Linked DNA regions of Lytechinus pictus. The protein of the gene in region 1 purifies or fractionates together with the protein of each later gene. This does not show direct contact. Links are inferred from orthologs where the notes say so. Each region holds a gene or a part of one and is shown on either strand. Other genes may lie near its edges. The genes, in order: dnaJ homolog subfamily A member 2-like, nuclear migration protein nudC-like and WD repeat-containing protein 76-like.

Evidence for each region.
Region 2: the proteins of dnaJ homolog subfamily A member 2-like (region 1) and nuclear migration protein nudC-like purify together in Homo sapiens (affinity purification with mass spectrometry; 4 studies listed by BioGRID and IntAct, with this or other methods). This does not show direct contact. The link is inferred for Lytechinus pictus from reciprocal best matches to the Homo sapiens genes DNAJA2 and NUDC.
Region 3: the proteins of dnaJ homolog subfamily A member 2-like (region 1) and WD repeat-containing protein 76-like purify together in Homo sapiens (affinity purification with mass spectrometry; 3 studies listed by BioGRID and IntAct, with this or other methods). This does not show direct contact. The link is inferred for Lytechinus pictus from reciprocal best matches to the Homo sapiens genes DNAJA2 and WDR76.

What each region holds. Positions count from the first base shown.
Region 1 is NC_087246.1:70,311,220-70,318,626, forward strand, and holds the start of dnaJ homolog subfamily A member 2-like, read left to right. Parts: upstream 1-4,310; coding exon 4,311-4,418; intron 4,419-7,407. UniProt on the Homo sapiens protein: Co-chaperone of Hsc70. Stimulates ATP hydrolysis and the folding of unfolded proteins mediated by HSPA1A/B (in vitro).
Region 2 is NC_087248.1:5,421,310-5,429,115, reverse strand, and holds the start of nuclear migration protein nudC-like, read left to right. Parts: upstream 1-4,718; 5' UTR 4,719-5,209; coding exon 5,210-5,284; intron 5,285-7,806. Other genes in the region: uncharacterized protein LOC135153861, read right to left, coding at 1-717, 2,523-2,615. UniProt on the Homo sapiens protein: Plays a role in neurogenesis and neuronal migration. Necessary for correct formation of mitotic spindles and chromosome separation during mitosis. Necessary for cytokinesis and cell proliferation.
Region 3 is NC_087250.1:12,391,671-12,399,668, forward strand, and holds the start of WD repeat-containing protein 76-like, read left to right. Parts: upstream 1-4,899; 5' UTR 4,900-5,052; coding exon 5,053-5,190; intron 5,191-7,186; coding exon 7,187-7,420; intron 7,421-7,998. UniProt on the Homo sapiens protein: Specifically binds 5-hydroxymethylcytosine (5hmC), suggesting that it acts as a specific reader of 5hmC.

The DNA.
Region 1 (7,407 bases):
TAAAATGCATGTTCGTAGATAATGTCTAATTCGAAATGATGTCTTTGTATTAGATACGCGCCCTTCAGGGGCCAAAAATAGGAAGCATTGATAATAATAATAATAATGATTGTAAATTTATATTGCGCAATTTCTATTTGGTTATACTCAACTGCGCATTACAATGCATAACAGATAAGCAGAAAAACAATTATTAACAGGATACGCAAAATTTTAGGACTAAATTTAAGTTCGCTAAAGTAATCGATATGGAACAAAATGTAAGTCCTGGGGGGAAAATGTGCAAATTAAAAAAGTATTAGCTCACAAACGGCACATTTTGAAAGAGTAGCACTTTTTTTCCTTTGTGTAATTATTTGGGGGGTAAGTGCATGCCCCTTGTCTGCCCCGGGTTCAGCGCCCCAGCATAAACAAAATTTAAAAAAATGTAAATTTTGAACTAACAACGTGAACAAGAAAAAAATAATAGTAAAGAAATTTATCTGAAGTAAATAAGAGCATGTTCAAAAGGGCCTATAATTGATCAGATGTATCAGGAACATAATAATGTGTAGAACACATGCACTTGATCATGTTTTATCCTGTTTATAGATATTCAAATCTACGAATAAATGAATAATTATAAAGAAGCACAATGCAGAAGAAAAAGAGGTATTGTCATGCTTACGTCAGGACCGGGCGTCAGGATAATTGAAAAAAAAAATTCCAGGCATTTTTGGTGGTGGGGTGTAGCCGCCAGACACAACTTCTTCTTCTCATGTTGGTTTGAGTGGCGATTAGTCATATTTGGCTTAGTCTGCTGTGCAAACCCTTCACTCGAGTAAAGGGTCTGAATTGCAGCCTATGATCATGCATTGTGTACTGAAGGCCCCCTCGCCCACAGCAAGTTTTGTATGCCTAGTCTTCGCGTGGAGACACACTTATTTCAATCAGGGTCCCTGCCTGCAGACTATATTTGACTATTGTCTCCATTGTCTATAAAATCTCACTTCACACATATTGATATTAATACCAATATGATGTATACACAATAAAATATTTTTTCTTGTTTATCCTTCTTATATGAAAAAAGATAATTATACAAAAGTTTGTCATAACTCTTTTGTCTTAAATGGCATAAAAAAATCTTCACCAAAAACAAGCCGCTATCTTCAGCCCAGTTCCAACTAGTTGCGCTTGCCATGCCCTTTGAATAGTATCAAAGATGCAATCATACCCGTCAGAAAGGTACATATATTGTGCCGATTTTTCGGACATAAATGCCTAGGTCACCATACATACACACACACACAGTCATGTATATATACACACACACATATATGTATATTTTTTCATATTAAACTTATATATACAAGCATATATCCGTTCATACTTCTTATAAAGTATATAAACAATATATATATACTAGCACATCACTAATAACTACTCCTTACTAAAACGTTTCGTTCTTGAAACGAAACGTAAAAAATGCTTTCTGTGTCCCTGGGCCATCTTTTTTAATACTTTATTATTTGTCCTGGCTGTGATTCATTCAATTCTGCAAGAAGCATGATCGTTCAATCATATTTTGGACAATGTAAAATATAATGTCTGACAGTTTCTATACCTCAGGAAATCCATCACCATGATCACAAAACCTGTTTGATGGATCCCTAAATAATCTAATACCCCTTTCATACTGAGCTTTTCCCCGGTGAACTTCGCCGGCGAAGTTCGCCAGCGAAGGGGGAAGTGTCCAGTATGAAGGTACACAGGAAAACTTCCCCCGGCGAACTTCGCCGGTGAAACTGTTTCCCCGGCGAAGTTCTCCGGTGAAACAGCCAGTATAAAAGCTAACCAGAGAACTTCTCCTCTTTAATGACGTCAGATGTCTTTTTTTTTCTCCCCGAAATCCCCTGAACTGAGATTCCGCGCGCTAGCTATAGCTACATGTATTATTTCCGTGGCTAAAATGTAGAAGGCCACCCTTAAAGAGTAGTCTGCTGGGCAAACCCTTCACTCGAGTAAAGGGTCTGAATTGCAGCTTACTCATGCCTCCTGAAACAGCAAGTTTTGTATGTGCTAGTCTTTGCGTGGAGACACACTTGTTGATAAAAGTTTCAATCAGGGTCTGCCTGCAGACTACTTTATGAGCGATTCGATCATTCCATAGAGTTAAATACTCTCGAACATATATTTTTTTTCACTAACAATATTTAATTCAAAAGCGTTATTTTACATGCTGAAAATACGCTTGAAATATCAAAATACTTTGATTCTTTTTTGTTTTGCTTCTAATATTTCTCGAATATGTTGTAAATTTTTTAACACCTTTTTGTAATCGGTAAGAAGCAATATTTACAATTTTCTTTTCGTTCGTTCTAATTCTGCATGCATGCACGTGCCGAGTGAGATCGATCAGCAGCAGCAGCTGAGAAGTGTTTACCAGCTGTCATCTCCAAAACTTCACTGATATAAAGGACAGAGAACGATTAAAATTCAAATTTAAAAAAGCGCGCGCTTTCACTCCACCACTGAGAGATCAGTGGTCTGCACTTACTTCCGCCCGAGCAATTTTACCCGTCGACTTTCGCCGGGGAAGAGATGTAGAAAGGGTACATATTTTTCTTCAAGTTCGCCGGGGAAGTGAGGAATGCGTACTGGAAATGTTCGCCGGCGAAGTTCGCCGGGGAAAAATGAAGAGGCCAGTTTGAAAGGGTATATAGATCTTGGTTGAGACCAGTGACTCCAAAACGGAGACGGTGGAATATTCGTGTCTTTCTAAATTACGTTTATATGCGGAGCACTGATGCTTATAGTTCTTTCGATCAGTGCTGAGTTAGTTTTATTCCATCTCTCGCCAAACTATCTTACAACTTTTTGAAATAAGTTGCGTAATTTCTGATAATGTTATTTGATTATGAAATTCTATTTTGTTTGATAAAGCCTTTTTTGCGCAGGAGTCTGTTATTTTATTTCCTTTTATTCCACAGTGACCAGGGATCCAAACCTTTATATTTGAGTCTTGTAATAGTCAGAATCGTCCTTCCGATTCTGTAAAGATAAAAGTGCACTTAATGAATCACTGAAAATAACAACACCTGTATATATATATATATATATATATATATATAGATATATATATATATATATATATATTTTATCGATTCCAGTGCAAGAATAATCGCAATCGATTCCGAGAGGTGAAATTCGATAATCTTTTTCCTTGGTAAATAGAAAAATAAGGCGCATACCGTATTGTAGAAAGCGGCTGAACTATAATCCCCCTTTCTGGAACTTTGGATCCATCAGCTGTATATATGGAGTTGGTTGGACCATTTTGTAGATGTCAATTCCAAACTCAGTTGTTGTAATTGTATTGGATGATCTGATTTCTTGATTTGTGAACTTAATCATGTGATATGACTGGTGAGCAAAATAATTTATAAATCTACGTGTCTGACATCCTACACTAGCGTAATGCAAATCATAGCAATATATCTCCATGTACTATTTAGTCTCAATCTTCAGACCCTTAATATTTTGTTAGTGCTGAAACCTATAGCTGATGCACAAAAACTTATGAATGCAGATGCAGAAGGGGGCTAATGGCTGGTGGTTATGGTTGGGGTGGTGGAGGACAGTAGTGTACGCGCAGGGGGTGGTTACAGGCGGGGTTCAACCCCCCTTAATTTTTTTTCAAACCCACCCCCCCCCCCCAAGAATTCAACCCCTCCCCCAATAATTCTTTTTTTTTGCTTGTCAAATTTTTGTTGAGATACAAAACGGCGCAAAAATTGGTGGTGCATGAAGACTTTTTTCTTGTCAAGTTATTTGGGGGTAGGAAACGACCTAAAATTTGTAGTGAAGAGTGAAGACCTTTTTTTCAACATTTCATTCAGCTTGAACCTTGACCCCCCCCCCCCCCATTTAAAAATCCTGCCATCCGCGTATGCTACTGGTGGAGGGGGTGGTTAAGGCGGAAGGGGCAAGGGAGAATTAAAGGACACACGATGATCACTTGGCGCTGTGGCGTGCGCCTGTAATCCAAGCTGTGGGGAAGTTACAAATTGATGCAGAGGTTCGAGCCCTGGTCACGTCTTTCGGATGGTGACGTTAAAGGTCGGTCCCAGACGTAAAATAATCATATCTGATTGATACACGTCTGACAAAACTCAAATACACACACACACAATAGTATTTTTTTCTTTCCCTTTTGGCCTCCCATACTTCTGCAATGCATGCGCGCGTATGCATGATCGTTGGATTCTTCTAGTGCGTGCATGTGATTTCACTACATTACCGTATATTCAGCTTGTGACGCAACAAACATGGCGTTCTTTGGAATGGGACCGAGTTCGAGACCAAGTTCTAACGACACTAAGTTGTACGATCTTCTTGGAGTCTCTCCGAATGTCGAGAGTAATGAATTGAAAAAGGTTAGTTATAATTTTCTTACGGTAAACTATCATATTGGTTGGGCATTCATGCTAATTGTTGCGTTGCTATTTACCAGAATCACAGGTGATTGAATGAATGAATCAATGAAAGGGATAGGGGCACGCATGCGGTACCGGTACGGTACCGGTACCGGCATTGTCATTTGACGGTGTGTGTGCTGCATGCTGCTGCATGCCAAGCTATTGCTAGACCAAAAACTTCAGTCTTGGAATAGGTATTTAGTTGTTCAGCTGCGTTGGCTCCACTCACCAATACATAGAGTGATAGACTGAAGAGCTAAGTTAGAGGCCCGTACGTAAAAAACAACGTATACCGCCTTACCGGTCATGCCGGTAATAGCACTAAGTAAAGTCAGTAGAGGCGCTGGTCCAAAAATTGGGATTGTCCCAGAAAACAAGGATATCCTTATAAACCAAGACAAATTATGTCTTGATAAATTGAGACTGTCCTTGTTTATGGGGACGTTTTTTCTTCACTTCTCCCTACGGGACAAAGACAGCAATTAGGGGAATTGAGAGTGCTAAAAATAGATTCAGTGACCTCAATTCCCCCCAGTTCACCGTTTATTTATTATGACTTGCCGTCTTCCAATAATCTTGTTATGAAACCTGATATGTTTACATTGACTAGCACTCTTGATTGGTGTCGCCACTCAACAGGTGAATGAACTTTCCTAGATTTCTTGTGTGAAGAAATCCTTATAAACTGAGACAGTCCCTGTAAACTGGGACGATCCCAATTTTCTGACCAGCGCCTCTACTGAAAGTTAGTCTTACTGTAGGGTGGACAAATTGAAATCCTAAAATTTTTATTTGAACGTCTTCACATTTTTATTTACAATGACATGAAAGAGAAAACAAAATCAAAGCAAACATACCAACTCCCAGTTCCAAAGGTTTCCAAAAAGTGAAGATATTAAGTGTCAAACTATGGCCTTTGTGAGACCAGAAAGGGACAGAGATAACCGATTCAGCCCCCTAACTTCCCCGAAGCTAGTTGTCACGTAAAATGGTCGATGAATAGCTAGTTTCGAACGACCTCCTTAAATTAATATTCAATTTTAAATTTGCCGCTGCAGCCCGGCTCGTAGTCTGTGGTAGCTTGTGCACGAGACGTTATTACGAAACATGCATTCTAAAAAGTAAAAGTCTCTCCATAAATAGAAATTTACGAATTACTTTAAAAATAAACGATGATTCATATTTCATACCTATAAATGATGATCATTTGACATATTCGACTTCTAGATTATGTTTTTGGTGGAAGTTATTTCCATCTTTTCTTCTCCGTCAGAACTCCGAACGTAGTCACGGCCATGCCGTGCCCAGCGCACCCGGTACTGATGCACTGCGTATACGGTATGGGTATACCAGACCGGCCTTAGCTAGCTAGCTTCCCAATTTCTTTCCACACAGTCATGACATGCCGTTACCAATTTCAGGACATTATTTGTAGTAAATATAATTTTTTTCCCTTTTTTAAACGTATCAGCCATAATAAATAAATAAATTTCGTCTACTTTTATTTTTTTAATAATAATTATATTACTGATAAGCCTCATTACACCGCATTTTTATTTAATCAGCAACATGTCCTGAAACTTGCTTCCCACTGAGCTATTTATAGTACTTACCTAAAATTTCAAAACTTCACATGTGCCGATGGAACCTTCAAATCCAGGTCCTAGCCGATTGAGTTCATTAATAATTAAATCAAAGTTTTCAAAAAAAATAAAGAAATGAATGTCCCGAAACGAATCATGTAGATAATCAATGTGGAATCATGTGGAGTAGGTAATGATTAAACTGATGAAAAAAATTGAACTTGTGATCAGTGCTCCTCTTATTGGAAAATTATAACAAATCGAAGCAATGGGTGCTCTCTTATGCAAGTGATCCATGATGATAAATGCCGGACGAGCTGGGTCTTGTTTTCATCGTTAAAGTTTGAAAGTTCATTTATTAATTGGGGTGACTTGAACACATCGGTAAAAGTATCAGTAGAAACAAACATAATTTACCTCTATATCATAAACATCCATAACAATATAGCACTGTATCAAACATATCAATTATTTCAGTTTTATGCTTAGAATACTCTTTTATGTTTGAGTGGAATTTCCCCATTTACAAGTTCAAGTTACTCTGTGCCCTTTGGTTCATGTCATGAAACCCGTTCTTATTTTCATTTCATTCATCAAATCAAATACGGTACGGTGCAGTGCAACACGTGCAACAATGCCTGCTGTGGCGTATTGCAAAGATATCAATGTCTTTATGACATTGAAGGCCTATTCTTTGGTTTACAATATAAAATGCTGCAGTTTTTGTCTTCAGGAAGATTTGTACTTATTCTTTGACAACAACGAGGAAGCTGCCCAGGTGGAATGGTGGAGCTGGTCCAGATTCAACAGAGGAGATACGCCCACATTCGCATACCTCTAGGTAACAACACCCCCCCCCCCCCCCCAAAAAAAAAAAAAAAAAAAAAAAAATAGAAAATAAAATATAAAAAATGAGTCAAGCAGAGTAAAAGCAACAGTGGAAAATCTTTGATAAAGGCAAGTAGAAAAATTAAGAAAAACAGGCCTAAACAAATAACAATTATATCTATTTTTTTAGAGCTAAATTATAAAAATAACTTTTTAGTTTAAATAACAGTTTCATTGTATTATCAGCAATTTAATCCCAGATATTCCCCCCCCCCTATCTCTCTCACGCTCTCTCATCCTCTGAATTTTATTTCTTCAAATAGAATGTTGAAGCCCATCGATCAAGCTTTGAATTTCTGCGTCAATCAGGGGAATTCCCTGGGTCTCTTGACAGGCTTGGGGTCGAACATGTGCCATTTGATCTCTCGCATGCGGTCTTTCCATTCAAGTTGTGGAAAATTCCATTCATAAATAATTTAGACTAATATCCAGTCTTTTATTTTTTTCATTCGATTGATTTTCCTCACTTTACATGG
Region 2 (7,806 bases), on another chromosome or scaffold:
TCTGGATGATGAAGCGTTCGTTGAAACCATAGTGTAATTGTACTTTAGTGGAGTTGGAGTCGCCGATGCAACATCTTCTATATCGACTGTTCTGTTCCTGTCATCTGAAATACTTTGATTGGTCTCTGTCGTGTAATCTTGATGATAATACAGACGAGATAGTGATGTCTCTTCGGAGAGATGGTCGAGGACATTGTCGGCGTGGTCGGTGCTGTTCTGAGGTGGTTCTTGCCTTTCTTCATCCCCGTCTTGTTGATCATGGAAGTTATTTTGTTGGTTTCTATCTCGTAGAATGGCGAGGGCTTCCTGGAGAGTTAGATTTGAGTCTGTGAATGACGTTTGATTTGACGGAGGTTGTAATATCTCGGCTTCTTCGTTGTTGATCGACAGCGAATTTGTTGAATCGGCAGACGAGTTATCATCCTTTTCGACTTCATCAAGGACGCTAATGACAGGAGAAACTGTGTCGGGATGTGGTATGCCATCGTCCTCGTCCTCCCAGAACTTGGTTCCATTCACGTACTCATAGATAACAGTGGTAGCCACGTCAGTGCCCTCAACATTATCGTCATCATTGACGGTATGGTAGTCAATTGGCTGATTGGGATATGATTGGTTGGTCGGTGTGGTGATGTCAGGTTTGTTGTTCTTGTCGTTCAGGATCTGGGAAAGCTTGCTCAAGATGTCAAGCCAGGAAACAGGAATGTCTGCATCATCCTAAAAGTCAAACAAAATAAAAACGTTAATAAATACATACAATATTAGATATTAATCCACTTGATTTTTTTTTCTTTATCTTATCTTATCTTACTTCTTTATAATATTTTAGGTGGTGTAGTCATGTATAGGCCTTGTTGTTTGTTTTCCTCTGATGTGTTTTGTGATCACTCTGAAAGGCAACTATTATTTAGTTCCTTGAAGGTAAATATCACATGGAAAAGGTGAATTTATGCTCGAGTATTATTTTCGTCATACATCATATATCAACTTCAATAGATATTTGTTTGAATAAGACTGCCTATATGATTCGAGTTTGGTCTTTTACAGGCAATCCTTTCTCCATTGTTGAAGATATGTCATTAATTCAAAAGGACCCTCAATTGAATACAGGCATAAAAATGTTAGTACCACTTAAATAGACCTTCCGCCATACATTTTTTTTCAACATGTTTATTTGGAGGAGGTTGTATGGAAACAAATACATGAAAACAAACAAACGATCTAAGTTGTGATGGAAATAAGACCAGCGAAAATTGAAGTTTTCAATATTGCCATTTACCTCTAATTAAGTCACATCTGTTTACACATTTCTCTGTGATTGTGTAAGAGTGAGTCATTAACGGGCTTAAAGACCGAATCATTAATATTTGAACAAAAATCATATTCATTTAACTCCCCCCCCCCCCAAAAAAAAAAGAACTACAGGAAAATAAAAGGGCAAAAGAGCAACATAAAAGGGGGGTCATATGGTAATTTCAGAAATAAGTACAAGTATATTGTTCGTATTTTTTCAATGAATATATCGCAATAAGATTCGAATCAGTCTATTCCTGATGGGCTTCAATCAGAAGTACATCAGTATTGTATGATTTGTGGGAAAGAACGCAAAAGTGTTGAAGACAGCTGTTCTTAAATATTGATTTGGGCTAATTGCATATACCGACATGATTGGTAAACAAAATAGAATTTGAATAGTTCACCTTCTCCCACTCTCCCCCCCCCCCCCCCCCCTCTCTCTCTCTCTCCCCTCTCTCCCTCTCTTTCTCCTTTTCTCATCTGTCTATTTCATATTTTGTGTTGTTTGCCTGGCAGGGTGTTAACACGGGCTAATATGAGAGCAATGACAAATATAATGTATTCTGTGCAAATTACAGCAGCTTTACATTTTACATGCGACGAATTTTTTTTTTCCATGAATCAAATATGGGGGTTAATGATGTAAAATAACAAAAACATATATGCCTAACCTAAGTATGTTGCATATTTAGTGTAATTAAATTCAATTTGCATAAATTGCCATGGAAGTATTAATAACATAATATAAATGTAGTTATTATAGATATAATTTCGTCTTTACCTTCAAATAAACAAACACAATTCACCAGGGGCGGATCCAGGATTTTCCAAAAAGGGGGAGGGAACATTTTTCTCTACGAAAATTTGACAAGCCTTCCCCCCCCCCAAAAAAAAAAAAAAAAAATGATAATAATAATAATAACAATTAAAAAAATTAAAAAAAATACAAAAAAATTAAGGTCATTTTGTCCCACGTGAAATTTGACAAGCAAAAAAGGTCATCACTTGTGTATGAACGACCCAGTATTCCCCTGAAAAATATTTGCTGTGACTCTCAAGGGGGGGCGGGCCGGATGTGCCCCCCCCCCCCCCCCGGTTTCGCCACTTACAATTCACATATAATAGTTATTGTGTCGGTACAATATATGTCTGTATATAAGTAGATTTGAGGATAATTGTTTATGATAAACAAACTCAATATACAATATTACTTCAAGTTCAATTACCTTAGCTTCGCCTGGGATGTCCTCAATATCACCTTGACATAAAACGGTTGTAGTGATACAGAATAATATCAATCCAAAGAGTGATAGTTTCATTTTTATATTCGCCTTGAGACTCGCTCAATCCAAAGTGATGAAATATAAATGCTTGTGTGTTCTTGTGTAATCGCTGCAGTTTCAGGACTGATGTCACAATTCACTCTTCCGTTCCACAGACGAATTGTCAGATGAGGAAGACCAGTTTCGACGGAAAGAGATCAAAATTAACTATTACGTCGCTTTTGACGATTAAGGTATCCCGTCAGCGCAGAGAGAAACATAGCTCCAATCAAAGAACATGTTAATATAATGGCAATGGTTATTGTTGCTGACATGTTATTTACAAGTTGTAACAATCTGTCAGTTTTATACGATCATGTACTAATGAAGCGAATACCGAGCATTTGATGTAGTAAACTATATACCTTCACCGTGATAAGTGTGTTTGCATGGCCGCACCTGTGCTAGGTAAATCATGAACTTAATTATCAAAGTTCACCCTCACTCGCATATTGCTTGAGGTTTTGGGCGTGTTGCCCCTAGAAAATTATTCAGGATAAAATGTATTCTCGTTTGAATGGACCTGATAGACATTTTATAGTCAAGTTATGTTTATAAACTAATGTTGTATATACTAGGTCTATACACTGACACAGTATTTTTTTTTATTCTCAGCATTTGTGTTTCTTTTCAATTACTTTTTTTGGGAGAAGAGATGAGGATTCATACTTTCACCCTCCTTGAATATCTTCATTACCACCCCCCCCCCAAAAAAAAAATTGTCTTCATATTCATAGTCATACGTCTTCATTGGTCTATCTTCTGCAAATATATGTTTTTCATCAATAAATGTAGACATTAAGGCCCAATGCTTACAGTATTTCATTATTTTTACTCTCGATATTTTTTTTTGTAAACAAAACACAATTCCACCCCCCCCCCAAAAAAAAAATGCCTCTGTATTTTCTGTAAATATGTGTGAAAATTGAAGCTTTTTGTGTTGAATTATCCTGTGAGACCAAAGTTTGAGCTTCACCTGTTGCATCGCGCGCCGGATCGCGCGATTAAAAAAAATCGAACGTTGTTCAAAACGAATATAGCTTCGGTTAATGATTCAGTGAGTTCCCAACTCAGTCAAAGAATATGATCGAATATACGATAGGCTATAGGGCCTATATATTGATAGTTTAGAGAACAACACATTTGAACAATGTAGTTGACATAAATAATGTAAATTAATATCTAGTTATAACAAGGCCGAAATGTTTGGATGAATGTTTTTTTTTCTTTCTTATGGATATACCGTTCATCGGAATCATCCTCCCTTCTTCTTTATTCATGTATAATTATCCCCTCTTATTTGTCTTGTCTACAAGTTCAATTTTCTATAATGTTTAATTTAAAGGTAAATTCCAGTTCTGGTAATAACGATCTCAAAATGACTTTTTACAGAATCTAATATAATGACCACCCAAGTGTCTGTTTGTATATGAATAAAAAATATGTGCCAAAGGATTCTGGGAGAAATTGTGTAATTGCTGAGAAATAAGCAAAATAAGCGCGGATTCGGTCACTTCCGTCGGGTCTTTATTCCAGCAATAATAATACACTGTCCCACATGTGCCTATCTGTGTTGGCGATCTTCAGTGTGATCGTATTTCAGCTTAGATTTCATGATTTCACAAAGTTCAGTTTATGTAACTGTACCAGATCTAGATCCACGATGATATAGTCATACTTAACTTTGGTTTTACAGACTTTCTCACGAAATTAGTGTTTTACTACTGCAACTACGTTCATTTAGCTTTAATGTCAATGTTTGCAATATTATGTTACTGGAGGAAAGGATATATCGTAGACTAAAAAAAATTGTAATTGAATAGAATAGAATAATCATCCTCACCATATGATCATCATCGCGGTCGTCGTCGTCGTCATCATCATGATCATCATGATCACCATCATCACCATCATCATCATCATATTGTCGTCATCATCATTCAATGATCATCACCATCATTAGTATAATCATGGACCTATCAGAAGAATAGAAATGAATAGAGGCCGTCATTCAGCAACTCACACATTTTCCTTGAAACATGGGGTATGAACTACCCCCCCCCCCCCGGCCCCCCATAAAAAAGGGCGCGAGTGAGGATCATACTTCCCATGGCATACTTCGGTGTGTGCATGTGCCTTCTTCCTTCCGCTCTATATAGCTCTCGATCGATCTATTTACTTCCTTACCCCCATCTAACCCCGGCATCTAACCCTTCTCCTTCCTTCAGAAATAGATGGATAAATAAACAAATAGATAGACAGATAGATAGATAGATAAATAAATAAATGAATAGATTTTAACAATTAAAAAAAAAAATAGAGTCTAAATCATTCAAAAAGTCATTGGAAATCAAGACAATTCATATTTGAAACATTAAAGCCCCTAGCCACCCACCCATGTCAGCCCGGCCCCCTCCTCCCCCTCCACCACCACCACCACCACCATCAAGGCCCAGTAGTTTGCTCATGTTTCTAGAATTTTCTGACTCCGCCCTGCATATATTGCATATATTACCCATATATATGCTAGAAAACGAAGACTACCAGTACCGAAATTTATTCATTCATTTTGGTGAACCACATGTGGAAAAATGGCTGAGGATGACGATAGATTTGACGGTATGCTGATGGCAATGGCCCAGCAACAAGAACAAGGAATTCATCAGGTACGTAACTGGCATAATTTCATTCATGATAAGTTTTGATTTGTGTGATTATACTGCATTTAATTTGCTATGCAAGTCCGCAAGTATCAGTTCATCTTGGTCCGGTCCCACGCGTTCATTTTTGCGTTTCTTCGCTTCTTTTAGTTTATCTCGGTCCCACACAACCGCTATCGTGTTTCTTATTCGATTGAAACCATTTATGGCAGTGAGTCCAAACTTCGCGCGTGTCCATACTTCGCGGACGGTCATTATCTCAAAAACTAGCCAATATCCTTAAAATCTGACATCGTCAACGTGAAAAGCGACCTAAAATTACCCTTTAATAAAAATTTCTTTAGGATGAGTTCAGTATTCATGAAAATATTGGCAAAAGATCGGCAAATTTGCCACCGCTTGCGCCCGTTTTGAAGAAATCAACAAGCATCACGATATCACCATTTTGCAAGCAGAAATCATCAAAAATGTGAGTTGAATGTGGTACTAACCAATTCCATAGCATTTTGCCATCAATCTGATATAAAAATATTTCACTTTTTGAGCTTGAGTTTTTGTTTGAATCTCCACAAAAACTTTGGTGCGCGAAGTTAAGTCACATTTTTTCTGAACGGTTTCCAGCACAGCCCGCATTCACCGATCGGAATAGAATTTTGAGATCGCGATACCGGCGAAACCCCTTGACCTACTTTACATTTTCGTCCATGATTTTATAGATTACGATCTTGCCGTCAATGTGGTAACTATTTCTTGAATTGGTTTTGTATAAATTATGAATATTTTGTGAACAAAATTAAGCCTGATGAATATTTTTGAAAAGTGCGCGAAGTTTGGACACCCCATCATACTGTCAGTAGAGGCGCACGGCCAATATGGGAGACTCTTACCAATAGGGGAGACAATCTCCCACATTGGAGACTTGCTTTGCAAAAGGACAAAAGAAACAACACCAACAAAAGCATGATTTTTCCCACCCAAAATTTTGTCTCACTGAGGTCAGAAGCCCATTTGTTTTGTGTGTGATTGACAACAAAAATCCTTATCAAAACAAAAGTAGACGGTGAATTTTTAAAGTAGACGGTGAAAAGGGGTAATTTTTTATGAGGAATCTCCTTATCACATTTTTATTTGCCGCCAAGGTAATCCTTTTGCAGCAAATGTAAACAAAGGAAATTGGTCTCCAAAACTGGAGACTCTCTGAAATTGGATACCCAAATTCTTTACAAAAGTCTCTGATATTGGAGATAATCTCCCACATTGGAGACAGTCTCGGCGCTAGTGTAGTTTCGCACCTCCCCGTTTAATGGTTTTCAAACATGTACAATCTCACCCTAAATAATTCACAACCTAAAATACTTGCATCTGAGCCTCCAAAGTCCAGTAGAAGTTGAATATTTGCCGTTTTGACACTTTTTTACAAAGTTTTACACCTATTTCGGAATCACTCGGTCGCTTCATCAAGCTCAGCGCTGCACATAAGCAGTCGGTACGCGTACAGTACGTACCATCTAGTGAAGTGCAAGAAGAGCGAGAAATTAATACACATAGATTTAGCGATGAAATAAGAAATAATAATGTAGAGCCTTGTTTTGAACTCTAGGTCAGAGAACTTTCCTTCAGTTTACAATTGTATGCTATGTTGATTGTATGCTATGTTGATTTCATGCTAGTAGATTACATTTTTCAATTTTTCACACGCCGTACCATCAAAACAAGGCTCTACATTATTATTTCTTATTTCATCGCTAAATCTACGTGTATTCACATTTTTCACATTTCTTATTTCATTCAAACAAGCACACACACGCACACCCCACACACACCTTCATACAACAAACATCAACCACTCTGCACAACCACTACCGTAATACTTGATGCAAGCTGAAAGAGGGGAAAAAAATCTTTTTGAAGATACCATAGAAAAACTCACTCTTCTTGCACTTCACTAGGTGGTACGTACTGTACGCGTACCGACTGCTTATGTGCAGCGCTGAGCTTCAAGCGACCGAGTGATTCCGAAATAGGTGTAAAACTTTGTAAAAAAAAAGTGTAAAAACGGCAAATATTCAACTTCTACTGGACTTTGGAGGCTCAGATGCAAGTATTTTAGGTTGTGAATTATTTAGGGTGAGATTTTACATGTTTGAAAACCATTAAACGGGGAGGTGCGAAACTACACTAGCGCCACAGTCTCCAATATTGGCCGTGCGCCTCTACTGACTGTAGGGAGTGTAGGGTCATCTTATCAAACATACGTAAATTTCTAGAAAAAAATCCTTCTATTTCATTTTTTATACTAATAGAAATTTATATTCAGTCTGGCTGAAGTTGGTTTTTAATAAAATCAGTCAAAAATCAGCAAAATGTTGGGTAGGAATTTCTAGGATATAAAAATATGACATGATCATGATGATTTATGAAAGTAATGAAACCGAAAGGATAGATTTGTCATTTTTAATTTAAAAAGTTTGAATTGGTGATGTCATGTCAGCAGCTGCCTCTTACAGTGAGTAAATTATTTTAATTCC
Region 3 (7,998 bases), on another chromosome or scaffold:
TGTTTACTCTGATGGTGAGTCAATTTTTTTCTGCTCATAATAGCAAGTCAATTTTTTGAAAAACTTCCAGCCCCTCCCCCACCTGGATATATAATGGTGCGTCCCTAAAGGGGTACTCCAGGCTGAAAATAATATATAACAGACACGTAAGACCAGAAAAACAAAACACTGCAAACTTGATCAAATCGGGCACAGAATATGCCTTTGTGAAGTTACAACACTATATAAAGGATAAGTCCACCCCAACAAATTGCTGATTTGAATAAAAAGAGAAATATCCAACAAGCATAACACTAAAAATTTCATCAAAATCGGATGTAAAATAAGAAAGTTATTACATTTTAAAGTTTCGCTCAATTTCACAAAACAGTTTATATGCACATCCTGTTTGGTATGCAAATGAGGAGACTGATGACGTTATCCACTCACTATTTCTTTTGTATTTTATTATAGGAAATATTAAATATTTAATTTTCTCCTCATTGTTAAGGGAAACATCGATTAATTTCTCCCTGAACATGTGGAATTAGCATTGTTTAATACTATATGGTTCAGTCAAGTTGGTCCTTATTGTCAAATGTGTAAAAAATGAAATATTGTATAATTCAAACAATAAAAAACAAAAGAAATAGTGAGTGATGGACATCATCAACTGATTCGTTTGAGTTGTACATATCACTGTTTTGTGAAAATAAGCGAAACTTCAAAATGCCATAACTTTTTTTATTTTACATCCGATTTTAATGAAATTTTCAGTGTTATGTTTGTTTAAATTTTCCTTATGGGGGAGCAAGAGCAAAACAATTGCAAAACAATTGGTATGAACAGGCAATGACGTCACAAAGCAACAAATTTGAGAGGGCGATCTGGTGTATCGGGCAAAATAAAAATTTAAAAAGATGCGAGCGAGTTAAAAAAAAATATGATATTTTCATTTTAAAATTCCAATTTTGTGATAGATTTTGACATAATGTTTAAAGCATAATATCATATTTTACTAATCTCTCTCTCCCTTTCTCTTTTTTTTCTTGGTCTGTACGCCACGCTGAACAGGATTTTTTTTATGATTGTGCATGCGCGAGCATCAGGGCGAAGCTCTATACTCGAAGGGGGCCAGTATGGCGCGTGTGGCAAGAGGTAGCTCCCGAGTAAGCGAAGCGAGCGAGATAAAATAAATCACCTTTTCGTGAGAATATAACTTTAAGATAGATTTTTACGTGATATTCAGAAAAATATAATAGGGCCTACACTTTTTCTTTGCTTTGCTTTCTTTCCTCCTTTCTTTTTTGTTTGGTTGAAGAACTTTTTTGGGCCATGGTTCAAATTTTTCCATACAACAGTGCTATGTGGGTGGGGTCCGGGGCGGAGCCCCCGGAACCTCATGATACTATAAAGTCATTTTAAACCTTACCGATGGCCACTATTTTAAAAATCAAATTGCGTCTATATTATATAGCTTTCACAGTGACACAACACATAAATTAATTGCAGTTGCGTAATATTTTATCCAAATATTTTGAGGGGGCACACCATACTAAATGGGAGAAAATTTGTAAAAAGTTCCCAGCGAGCGAAGCGAGCCAGAATGAAAAATGGACCTTTGAAATGAAATTCTAATTATGTGATAGATTTTTACATGATAGCAAACAACATGTCATATATTGTTTCCATTCATCTAATTTCGCTGCCTCGTTGATTTTCGTTAATTTCCCCTTGGCTGTGGAACCACCCCCCCCCCCGTACGCCAGTGCTTCAACGCAAAGCTTATAATGCAGGAAGGGTCCATACAGGGGCCCGTTATATAGAGCCCTTTAAGGACGTTCCACAGAACATATTTGTGCGCATTATGATCTGCGCATAGTTTACACTCTGCGCGCTGACGTCACAATGGATGAACAGGTGATAGCTGCGGGTATGAGCTGATTTTTCTCATCTTCTGCACTTTAACTGCAGATCCGATGCGTTATTTCATGAAGCTAAAAAATTGAATTATTCCATGGACCATTCAAAAATATATTCTCTACAATTTCAAAATACTTTACTCTGCAGTGCTGCCAAGAATCACGAATATTACCCCGAGTTTGAATAAATGGTAGAGTGGTTTTGATTTTTTCTTCACATAGATACTAAGCATTTGGCCCATTTTTTGTGTTTTAGAAAGCACATTTGCTCTAATAAAAATGCTGATAGTTTAAAAACAAGCACATGAACCCCTATTTTTTAATGTTTGCACCTCTTAGGTATACCTTCCTCTACAACTCTGCAAATTTTGGTGAAAATGACATGGATTTTGAATAAAGTGCAGCATTTATCGTACGTTTGTAGTTTGTTACTGAAATTTTACATTTTTTAGATTGGGATTTTGTTATCTTTTACGCCATTTTTAAGAACTGACAGTGCTGTTAAACTTAAAATTGCAAACAAATAGCACTATTAATAGATTCTCCATTCTAACGATACAATTATCAACTCTCTTGCGAAATTTGATGACTTTTTCATGTATTTTGACTGAGTAATAGAGGTTTAAACTCATTGTAGTAATCTTGGGCGGTCTAAAAATGCCAAATTCTTTTGAATGCGCAATTCTTAAGAACATCAATTTGGGTGAACTTTGAAGCTCTATAGCAAAAAATCAAGCACATGGACCTATGTTAATTTTTGCATATTTCGAATATTAAGGTTCTAAAGTATCTATGTGCAAAGTTTGGTGAAAATGACATGGATTTCACTTTAACTGTGGAACGTCCTTAAATGTTACAGATGAAGAGCCCCTACTGCACGGGGTCTTGGGCAGAGCCCCCGGTAGCTTTGGAGATTTAGCAAGCTTATATAGAATTTCGTACATTATGCTATTATGCCATCCATCTTTTAGATGTATTGCTGTACACATGCATGACCAAATTATTTGGTACCCCCTAAACGAGTTTTTCTCTGTGTGCAAAATAATCCCCTTATCAATTTTTTTCGCGCGCTTCAGTCATATTGGCCCCTAAACAAGTTTTGTCTCGGGCCCGAACACTTTTCAGAAACGAGGAGGAGAAAGCACCTTTTATTTGAAAATCGGTGTTTTTGATACCCTTGAAAGGCCACCGCACACCTTACGACTGGTCTGCGACCCGATTTCAGAATAAAATGTAATAGAATTTGATGCTAGTATTGAGACTTGGAATATCTTACTGTGTAATGTTCGAAATCATCGTATACCTATGATCAAATTTGTGACTATGCTATCATCCTTCTTAGAATAAAAGCGAATTTAATATATAGTCGTTATGACGTCATAGGAGTCTTACGATTGGGTACGATTTGAAACTAATTTGGACTTTACTCCAAAATAAGGGCATGCAATCTTTCAAAATTGTTATAATATTATTATTTCAATTAATTTTAACCTCAAATAAAATGATATGTTCCATTCACATCTTCAGAAAATGAGCAAAATGCGATTTGTTCCAAAATCGGGTCGCGGACCAGTCGTAAGGTGTGCGGTCGCCTTAACGAGTGCACTCGCGGCCCGCGTCCAAAACTGAAAAAAAAAACCAACACCCCTTTAATAGCGTTTTTTGGTCATTTTTTACAGCAATATTTTTGACTGCCCCGGGGTTTTCCCTTTTTATGTGTTTCTTATAGTTTTCTGTTCCCTTTCATTTCCCTTTCCTCCCCCCCGGCCCCCCCCCTTTCCTCCTTTTCTTCCTTTTCTTTCCCTTTCCATTTCTTTCTTTCTTTTTTTCTTTCTTTCTTTCTTTCCTTCCTTCCTGTCTTCTTCCTTTCTTTTTTCCTTCCTTCGGCATTCCTTTCTTTCGTTCTTTCTTTTTTCCTTCCTTCGACATTCCTTTCTTTCGTTCTTTCTTTTTTCCTTCCTTCCTTCCTTCCCAAGTTCCTCCTTCCTTTCTTTCTTTCTTTCTTTTGTTCTCTCTCCCTTTTTTCTTTTTATTATAATTTTCCCGGTGAAATCCGCCAGGGGGGCGGGGGAGCTTGCCCCATTCTGCCCCCCGCCTGTTACGCCACTGCCTATAGCCTACTATGGGGGTACTATGATCTTACTGAGATCATAATCTTTTTCACTGCATGCACCGAAATAATGCTCACTTTAAAATGTCACAACCTTGTTATCCTTTTAGTATTTTGATAATTTTTTAATTGTTTTGTAGGTCTGATTTTACTTAAAGGACAATTATAAGTCCACCCAAGCAAAAAATTGATAAAATTAAAAGAGAAAAATCCAACGAGCATAACACTGAAAAATTCATCAAAATCGGGAATAAGAAAGTTTTGACATTTAAGTTTTGCTTAATTTCATATAACAGTTATATTCACATCCTGGTCGGTACGCAAATGAGGGGACTGATATGACATCACTCACCTATTATTTATTTTGTATTTTATTATTCATAATAATATGAAATATTCCAGTTTTCTTCCCGTTGTAGCCTACTATATAGTTTTATTCCTCCTTGAACATGTAGAATTACCATTGTTTTAACATTTTATGGTTCAGTCAAGTTGGGCCTTGTTTTAAGATCTGTAAAAATTGAAATATTATATAATTCAAACAATGAAAAACAAAAGAAATAGTGAGGGACATCATCGACTCATTATTTTGCTCGTCACTGAGTTGTACTGCATACATGGCATAGGGCCTAACTGTGATAAATAAGCGAAACTTTAAATTGTCGTAACTTTCTTATTTTACATCCGCTTGTGATAAAATTATTAGCGTTATGCTTGTTTGATTTTTCTCTTTTGATTGCAATCAACATTTTCTGGGGTGGACTTGACCTTTAAGACCTTTAATCTGTTCAAATCAATATTTTTATGCAGCACTACGTATTCGTCTTCTGAAACACCCCTTCCCTCCCCGGGGACGAGGTTGCAGCAAGCCGATGTTTCGTAATCAAAGCGCGCGCAATTTATGTAAACATGACTTTTCACGTGCATAAACACGACATACCGTATATACTGTGCATGTGCTGTGTGACATCAATTGATAAATTCGTGGATCTGTCTGTGACTGTGTACATGCTCTCGACTGTTCATCAGAACCTGCTATAAATGATCGCAACTAAAACATTTTATAAATCAGCTAATATGGCCCCTGTAACTCGCACTCGAAATCCAAGACCAAAGCGAGAAGGAGGTTCTGAACTTGAAGCAGCCGAATCAACATTGGCTTCGAAGAGAGCAAAGCGGGTAAGTCATGCAGGCTCTTGTTGATTTCATCGATGGTCGCCGCCGAGGGATGCCGGGATCTCGCCGGACTTTGACTTGTAATGAACCGAACCGTAGCCTGGCCAGAGACGAAGCTGTCACTGTCACTGTATTCAGCTTCATATTTTAGTGTGTTAGTTAATTCTTACATCTAATTCTAGAATTATGATATTAAATTCAAATGTATAAAATGATATTAGGAACCTGTCAGCTGTCTTATTTGTTTTAATAATTTAATTTCTTTAATAAAAATAAATAGATTGACATAGGCCTAGTTAGGCACTTAGTTAGCAGTAGAGGCGCACGGCCAATATTGGAGACTGTCTCCAATGTGGGAGATTATCTCCAATATCAGAGACTTTTGTAAAGAATTTGGGTATCCAATTTCAGAGACAGTCTCCAGTTTTGGAGACCAATTTCCTTTGTTTACATTTGCTGCAAAAGGATTACCTTGGCGGCAAATAAAAATGTGATAAGGAGATTCCTCATGAAAAATTACCCCTTTTCACCGTCTACTTTAAACATTCACCGTCTACTTTTGTTTTGATAAGGATTTTTGTTGTCAATCACACACAAAACAAATGGACTTCTGACCTCAGTGAGACAAACTTTTGGGTGGAAAAAATAATGCTTTTGTTGGTGTTTCTTTTGTCCTTTTGCAAAGCAAGTCTCCAATGTGGGAGATTGCCTCCCCTATTGGAGAGAGTCTCCTATATTAGCCGTGCGCCTCTACTGGTTAGGGTCTAACTTGTTAGGCCTATATAAGTTACTAAAACTCTAACCCTAACGTCTGACATTTGGGCGAGGCAGTATAAGTTTCAGGGAAATTTAATCTAAGTTAATTAAAGTTGAATGTTACTTTATGTTAGCTGGCTTTGTTTGATTTTAAAATTTTTATTGGGTCAGCCTTAAAAAAAGGTAGGCCTAGTATTTTGAATGCAAAGTCAGTACTATTAATTACAAACAATAACTTATTAATCTAAGTTAATTAAAGTTGAATGTTACTTATGTTAGCTGGCTTTGTTTGATTTTAAAAATTTTATTGGGTCAGCCTTAAAAAAGGTAGTCTTTGGAATACAAATTAAGTTAGTATTAATTACAAACAATAACTTATTAAGACAGAGAAATGAAGAAGAGGAAGTCTGGAAAACAGAAAATATAACGATGGCATGCAGCCTGCAGGACTTCCTCGATGTAGCCTTCGAGTGCTTAAAGGTCAAGTCCACCTCAGAAAAATGTTGATTTTAATCAATAGAGAAAAATCAGACAAGCATAATGCTGAAAATTTCATCAAAATCGGATGTAAAATAAGAAAGTCATGATATTTTAAAGTTTCGCTTATTTTTCACAAAATAGCTATATATGCACAATTTAGTCACATGCAAATGAGATAATCGATGATGTCCCTCACTCTCTATTTCTTTTGTTTTTTATTGTTTGAATCATACAATATTTCAATTTTTACAGATTTGACAATAAAGACCAACTTGACTGAAAAAAAAAAAGTTAAACAATGGTAATTCCACATGTTCAGTGCGAAATAAAACTTTGTTTCACAGGACAATGAGGAAAAAATTAGAATATATCATATTTCATATAATAAAATACAAAAGAAATAGTGAGTGTGTGATGTCATCAGTTCCCTCATTTGCATACCGACCAGGATGTGAATATAACTATTTTGTGAAATTAAGCGAAACTTAAAATTGTCATAACTTTCTTATTTTCCATCCGATTTAAATGAAATTTTCAGTATTCTGCTTGTTGGATTTTTCTCTTTTTATTCAAATCCACTTATGGTTGGGGTGGACTTGTCCTTTAATTAATAAAATAACCTTGGCCAAAAAAAAGTGCCAGAATATCCCCATTCATTACTATGTTGAAGCTTTTCTAATACTGCAGATTTATCAATTAGGTTGTGAAAATTGGTCCACCGAACCTATTTTTTTCATCTTTCTATTTTTTTTTTTTTTTTCAGACTTCTGTTAGTTTGAAAGCAGAGATGCCAGATGCCGACTTGTCGCCCGCCGTCAGACGCTCACCAAGAGTTATGAAAAAGGACGCAAAGGTGTCGCTGACCAGGACAAACATCTTGAAGGAAAATGTTCAGAGAGGGAAGGAAAAGGTGAAAAAGGAAATCAAAGAGGAGGAGGATGAAGAAGAGGAGAATGCGGATATCAGACCTCTAAAAGAAGAATCAGATGTAGAAATGGTAATAATGATATTTCATTTACTTAGGGTAGCCACTATAGTTGGGAATGATAATAATAACTCTTATTTACCCAGTATTACCACTATTACCATTTCAGCTGCAAGCCGTTTTTACCGCTGGTAGAGAAGAGAAACTCTACCGTACCATGACATAAGATGTTATTACTATCCTTCTCTAATCTTAAGTGCTGAGCACCTAGCGAAGGTGAAGGTCCCATTTTTATACATGTTAGTCTTTGTCAGGGGCGGATCCAGGATTTTCCAAAAGGGGGCGGGCTACATGTAAGTTCGAATTCGGAGTCCAAAGGTCACAGCTCATATATGCGAGTTGGTTCAAAGGTCTAAATTCATTGTTTTGGTTTCTGCACGATATTAAGTTCAATCATATCGAATGAATTTCTGATCGCGTTAAGCGGGGGCATCTGTGTCCTTTGGACATGTCAAATTTCTAGTTTTTTCAGTGTTTTGTTCTGTTGCATCATTATTAGTTTTTGTCTTCTATCTATCTCTGTAGGGAAGTCACTGTAGAAATAGAATTATCATTATTTAATTAGATACAGAGCATAGTTGAAATCTGTT